2 linked regions of the Rattus norvegicus genome follow. The protein of the gene in region 1 purifies or fractionates together with the protein of each later gene. This does not show direct contact. Links are inferred from orthologs where the notes say so. Each region holds a gene or a part of one and is shown on either strand. Other genes may lie near its edges.

Region 1 (3,229 bases):
TTGTAAACTATGTAAGTCCTATTTCCTGAGTTGTTGTTGCTGTTGAGATGTCCCTTGTGAATGATGTCCCTTAGCCCACATGTACACCTCTAATGCTGTTTACACCTGGAGTTGAGAAGCACAGCAGCCTTGACACGTGGGGATAATCTAAAAATCTGTCTGCCCCAAGTAAAAGCCAGATGGCTGAGCTGTTTGGTGGTGTAAGGTCTTGAAAGATAAGTGTTTTTATCATGATCTTAAAAGCAAAGATCTTTAAATGTGGGACTTTAACTTTAGAAGTGCCACTAAAGGTCGCTTCTGTTCCAGTAGAGGAAGGAACCAGAGCTAGACATGCTGTGACACTACCATGCTCCTGGCACTTGGAAGGCTAAGGTAGGAGGGTCATTAACTGCAGATATCATGGGCTGTGGTAGTGAGACCCTGTCTCAAATCTCAAAACAAACAAACATGACAGTCTAGTGAAAAAGCGGGTAGCTTGAAAATGCAAGGCCATATAGTCCAGCTATTTGTACCAGGGTGCTGCTTCCTGTTTGTATCACTCCAGCACATACCAGCTCCATGTTTGCTGTGTTGGAAGTTGTAAGAATTCCGATGTCATTGCATACAGAGGTTTACTTCATAATCTGACTGCTGGTTTCTGGTAAATAGGCTGTACCACTGCAGGACCTCATTTTAATCCTCACTCTAAGAAACATGGCGGTCCAGCGGATGAAGAGAGGTGAGCAGCATTCTCTCTATGCATGGTGGTGGAGAGGGGTCTGTGGAAAACACCTGAAGACAGAACTGAGTGGTCTCACTGCCTTTTCTTTTGTATGTTTCCATTCACCCAACTCCCACATCCCCAAGTACTGGAATAGTTTATATTGGGTGAAGGAGCTGACAAATGTGGACTCTTAAGTGATTTAGTTTTGTAGCATTTATTGAAGATGAACTAATACAAGTGCCAAAAGGAACCAATACAGAAAATATCATGGATAACAGTACTATCAGTCACTAGCAAAGTAAATCATTGTATAATATACTAATGCAGATAATAAAAACTAGTTGAGATTCCGTTTGTATGTGAAACCTTAGGAAAGTCCTACATTTAAAGAGGGGCTAGCTTGCTTTTGGAATGGAGGCCTGGGAGCAAACCTTTGCTAATCAGGAGCTGACATCCTTTTCGAAAGTCCTAGACTGTGGCTCTCTCCTTTAAACTGGAAGAGCTATGTGTCAAGGTATCCTGGCTACCTGTTTTGAAATTTGTGTTTCCAGACCTTTGTCTGGAAAAGCCATCATATTTGATAGTGTATGTGCACTCTTTAATCCACTCATAGCATTTGACTTCGATGTGAATTTAGCTATTGAACTCTATTGATGTGAAATAGATATCATTGCTTATCCACCTGGTGCTGTTTTAATGTTAGGCATGTTGGAGACCTGGGCAATGTGGCTGCTGGAAAGGACGGTGTGGCCAATGTGTCCATTGAAGATCGTGTGATCTCACTCTCAGGAGAGCATTCCATCATTGGCCGTACTATGGTGGTAAGTTTCCATATAGTAGTAGATGTAGGATTTCTTCTAACATAGTTATGTACCTTTCCATGACTTCGTGGTGGTGGTTAAACTAGTTCCTAAAAGATCACATAAATTGGTAAGAGTTCAGAATAGGAAAAAATATTATTTTATTGGATGTAATAGTAAAGAATTAATTTGCCTAGGTCAGTTAAGAACGCTGTTCTGCTGAAGTGCGGTAGAAAGCTGGTTACATTTGATCAGACTGGATCTGAGTTGAGGATACAATAGTCTTTAGTTTAAAACAGCTGGATTTTCTTGCCATGATTGCCCCCTTACAGTTAATCATTTCGTTGAGCTTAAAATCTGCGATGGATGTCAGTATTCAAGTCTGCAGGTTATCGCTTGGTTACCATATGGGAGCCGTCTTCCCAAGTTACCCTCGGGAGATGAATCTGGTTCATGCAGAACACCAAGTAGTAAAAGCTCTTGCCCACTTCGGGCAGCTAACTTTTCAGTAGGCACTTCCTTTCAGTTGACCCTTTATCCTTAGAATTTTCTTCAGCCCTATTGGTGAAGCAGAACAATCATTCATAAATGTTCTAAAAATAAAATTTAAAATCTTGTTGCTAAGTAAAGATATTTAGAATTGCCTCTTATGTGTAGGCCTATAGTTCACTCACCAAGAGATTTTGATAGAGAAATTTGTAAGAATGACTACTGTACAGTGGGGTGAGGGTGAGGGCTAAGATCAGCATGTGCCTGGTAGTTATTTGGGTCCTTAGTATTCATCTAGAAATAGCCACGAGCAAGGAAACACTTAGTAGTCTGCTTTTAGCTGATAGCATAAAAATTAGCTTATTGATTTACTAATAGATTTGAACATTTTCTAATATACATGGTCCTTTGAAGTATTGCTGGGAAGAAGTGCTAATTACTTGATCACCGAAACCTAAATGTTCTTAATTCTTTTCAAAGGTCCACGAGAAACAAGATGACTTGGGCAAAGGTGGAAATGAAGAAAGTACAAAGACTGGAAATGCTGGAAGCCGCTTGGCTTGTGGTGTGATTGGGATTGCCCAATAAACATTCCCTATGTGGTCTGAGTCTCAGACTCATCTGCTGTCCTGCTAAACTGTAGAAAAAAACCAAACCATTAAACTGTAATCTTAACAGTTGTTAACTGTGTGACTCCTTTGACTTGCTCTAAGGACTTGCAGTGAGAGGTGACTGACGATGTTTGGAGGATGTGTAGAACTTCCTGAATGTGTACAACTCATTGAACTAAAATCTGTTGTTTCTGTGCCAGACCTCACTGGTGTTAAGCTGAAATTCTCATTCAAGCCTCTCTCTCTCTCTGTGTGTGTCTGTGTGTGTGTGTGTGTGTGTGTGTGTGTGTGTGTGTGTGTGTGTGTGTGTGTGTGTGTGTGAGAGAGACTGAGACTTATTTAGAGCCTCGAGAGATAGAGACTTATTTCAAGCCTATTAATGTATACCAAAAAGACCTAAGCTCTATACACTGAGCATCAACAACAGACTCAATGAGGCTCTCATAGTATTTAATTTTGAAAGTGTTTCATGTGATACCATCAAAATGACGTGTGGTAGCCCAAACCGGATTTGATCTTAGAAAATTTTCTGCCCTTTGTTATCATCAGAAATTACTGAAAGCTCTCTTTAAGATTCAGAGTACCTAACCTTATTTTAAAATCGTATTAGAGTTAGAAGCCATGAT
Region 2 (3,741 bases), on another chromosome or scaffold:
TTCTTCCCTTAGGCCTTCTGGGCTTTGCACTTGCTGTTCCCTTTTCCTGGGACACTGTCTCCCAATCCTTGCGATTTTAACTCTGCTCGAATTTCCGGCTATATTGGTTACTACCATCTCCACCGCACCTTCCCAAGTTGACTGGCAGGTTTCTGTCTCCGTCTCCACCCTTCTAGCACTCTGTTTATAAGGCAGGCTATCAGATGACCAAGGAAGCCCGCAGGGCAAGACGTTGAGAACAAAAGGTAGTGCGGTTGGAGCACGGCAGTAAATTTTCAGTAAAATGAAACGGAACGGAATAAAAAAAAAAAACAACTCACAGATGAGAAACCAACGCGCTCAGAGAAAAGTGCCCGGTCCTCTGGGACACAGCCTGTGCTGAGCTGAGCAGAGATTTGAAGTCAGCCACAGAGGGTCTGTTTGTAGGGCCCAGGCCAAGTGAGGCCTGGGGGGGGGGGTGTCGGGGGACACCTTCCCATATCGTCAATCCCGCCCACCTGCTAGTTTACCCTTTTGTCGCTGCAGCCTCAGTAGCTCCCAGGTGTCACCTTCACCCTGCTGCCCAAAGTACTGGTAGTCTGGGTTGATCTGAGTAGGGGACACCAGACCTAGAAACATTAGAGGGGTCAGCAATGGAGCCAGGTGGCTCCGGGCCATGCCCGGACTCCAACCGACTCCAGCGCGCCCCCGTGGCCAAGGCCCGCGCGGAACCCACAGCACAGACAATCCCGGCGTCCCTAAGGACACACCCCATCCAACCCTTGGGCAAGCTTGTGGACCGGGCCGCGTCTCCCCCTCTGCAGCCGCAATGGATGCGACCGCGGTACTGTCCCGCCCACCTCCCCGCGCCCTGCCTGCTGTGGTTTGGGCCACGCATAAAAGGCTCCCGGGCCTAGGGCTCTCTCGGTTCTGAGATCTCTTTCCTGTCTCTGCTCGTGTCTGGTCGTCCGCGTGTCCGGCTCTTGCCCACGCAGGTATGGAAACCTAGAGTGCACATGAATGGGAGGAGCCCCATTGGTGTGATGCTGGCCTCATCACCACCTCCATGATGGAGGTCTTTGTTTTCTATGCTGAATGGTGGCCGCTTTTGTCCTTGCGGGGGGGAAACCAAGGCCGGAGCCCTGGCTTGCAGGCTGGGTCATCGAGCTCACAGCCCTTCGCTCTTGGCTTAGCTATCCCATTCTGGAACTAAGGGCTCAGGTCCCCCTTTCCCCGCACTCGGTCTGACTCCATAATTCGGGTAGCAACCGTGACCCCATCACTCTTGCCCTGTTTAGGGGGGCGGGTATCCAGAGGCCTTGCTGTCCTTGTACTGGGAGGGTGAATATGAGTGCTGCTTCTCCCACCTCTCTTGGATTTAGTGTCTAGGCTTAGCACCAAAAGTGACCTTGGGAAGGCAAGACAAAGGGTCTTCTGAAGCACTAAAGACCAAGCTTGCATGGGTCTCTGATTTCAGTCATGGCCTCCGGCAACGCGCACATCGGAAAGCCTGCCCCTGACTTCACGGCCACCGCCGTGGTGGATGGTGCCTTTAAGGAAATCAAGCTTTCAGACTACAGAGGTGAAGCTGCTCGGAGGGGGAACGGGAGGGGACAGGGTCTACATTTGAAAGAAGCTAGCACTAACTTCTCTTCCGCTCTCCTCTTCCCTAGGGAAGTACGTGGTCCTCTTTTTCTATCCACTGGACTTCACTTTTGTTTGCCCCACGGAGATCATCGCTTTTAGCGACCACGCTGAGGACTTCCGAAAGCTAGGCTGCGAGGTGCTGGGAGTGTCTGTGGACTCTCAGTTCACCCACCTGGCCTGGTACGGGGCTCCGGGAGGAGGGCTGCAGGGGCCGCGAAGTAGGTGATGGGGTGGGAGGTGTGGAGAGGATGAAGGAAGGCCCAAACTCTAGGGACAGACTGTGTCTTCCCGTTCTTCATCTTATAAAGAATGGAAACAATGACACCCAAGCCCATACGATGATGACAGTAATTAGCATTTGGCACCTTATTGGAAGGTACCTGCAGACGCAGTCTCGGTTCTCTGGAGACAGGCTGCCTTGCTGTATTTCGCTATTCTCCATAGTGATCCGCTGTGCTCCATACCAGAGCGAGATGATGGTGGGAACAGTCTATGCGCATGCACGCGCGCGCCCCCCCAAACACACACACACACACACACACACACACACACACACTTTTTTTTTTTTTTTTTTTTTTTGGTTCTTTTTTTCGGAGCTGGGGACCGAACCCAGGGCCTTGCGCTTCCTAGGCAAGCGCTCTACCACTGAGCTAAATCCCACACACACACTTTTTAAAAGAACTAGGAATCAATTCCAGGGCTCACTCCTGCAAGGCAAGTGCCCTGTGCCCTGCCATTGAACTGACTAATAACTTTAATAACTTTAATATGGGTTCTCTACTGCAAGTTACTCAGGCCCACAGGCACAAGTGAAGCCATTTGAAGATGATGCTTTATCTGGGGCCATTCTCCCCCCAGCTACGCTGCCATCTCACAGGGTGGGGTGGGTGGAACAGCCCAGCCTTGCTTTAAGTCCTTTATCTCTTGTCTCCAGTCCTCCTACTCCAGCCCTTATCATTCTGGAGGCCATGAGAGAGAATTCTACAACTACTATACTCGGCATCCTAAGGTCCTAACTCTGTTTCTCTCACCCTCAGGATCAATACCCCACGGAAGGAGGGAGGCTTGGGCCCACTGAATATCCCTCTGCTTGCTGATGTGACTAAAAGCTTGTCCCAGAATTACGGCGTGTTGAAAAATGATGAGGGCATCGCTTACAGGTACAGCAGGGACACCCTGGCTCCAGGTGCCCGCAGCTCAAGGCTAAAGGAACCACTGTGTCTGGTGGGGTGTGGATGTTCCCTTCCCTGGCCCTGGCAGTAGGCCGTCTCCCAGCTCCTCACTGTGGACCCTCTTGTCTTTAGGGGCCTCTTTATCATCGATGCCAAGGGTGTCCTTCGCCAGATCACAGTCAACGACCTACCTGTGGGACGCTCTGTAGATGAGGCTCTCCGCCTCGTCCAGGCCTTTCAGTATACAGATGAGCATGGGGAAGGTGAGTGAACGTTCACAAATAGACAGAGACCGCCACTGCTCTCTGCCCGGCATCTTTGTGGGAGAGAGATTAAAGCCCCATCCCAGCGAGAGCTGAAGAGATAACCAGCAGGTAAAATCACTGGCTGCTCTTTCAGAGGACCAGGCTTGGGTTCTTAGCATCTCTGTGATGGCTCATAACATCCATAATTCTAGTCTTGGGGGGGGGGATCGGATGCTCCCCTCTGACCTCCTTCTGCACCAGGCATGCACATGGTACACAGGTAAACACGTAAACGGGATGGATGGGCTGGAGAGTTGAGTTGGCTCAGTGGTTAAGGGTACTTGCAGAAAAGCAGGTTCCAGTACCCACAGTGATGCTCACCAGCTCCTTGGGTACACAGACACATAAAATAAAAAAATAATAATAAAAGACAGGTTCTTAGGTCCTGATTGTAGAGGTGGTAGAATGGATAGGATATGGCATGGTGGCACACACCTTCAAAAACAAAACAAAACATACATACATACATACATAGAATGAATATATATATGCAAAACATATAACATTTAAAAATAACATGCCATATTCAAATTCAGTTCTTTGCCTGTAGGGAGTGTCTAGGATGGGGCAAGGATGCTAAGAGGGAAGATTTGGGAGCCTGGTAGATGACTGTAGAAGGTATTTGAACTAGGAATGCT

Evidence for each region.
Region 2: the proteins of Sod1 (region 1) and Prdx2 fractionate together in Homo sapiens (co-fractionation; 3 studies listed by BioGRID, with this or other methods). This does not show direct contact. The link is inferred for Rattus norvegicus from reciprocal best matches to the Homo sapiens genes SOD1 and PRDX2.

The regions. Positions count from the first base shown.
Region 1 is NC_086029.1:42,945,728-42,948,956, forward strand, and holds the end of Sod1 (superoxide dismutase [Cu-Zn]), read left to right. Parts: intron 1-648; coding exon 649-718; intron 719-1,406; coding exon 1,407-1,524; exon of another isoform or gene 1,525-1,526; intron 1,527-2,472; coding exon 2,473-2,580; 3' UTR 2,581-2,672; downstream 2,673-3,229. UniProt on the Homo sapiens protein: Destroys radicals which are normally produced within the cells and which are toxic to biological systems.
Region 2 is NC_086037.1:40,088,170-40,091,910, reverse strand, and holds the start of Prdx2 (peroxiredoxin-2), read left to right. Parts: upstream 1-928; 5' UTR 929-974; intron 975-1,361; exon of another isoform or gene 1,362-1,456; 5' UTR 1,457-1,458; coding exon 1,459-1,561; intron 1,562-1,652; coding exon 1,653-1,806; intron 1,807-2,663; coding exon 2,664-2,786; intron 2,787-2,930; coding exon 2,931-3,061; intron 3,062-3,741.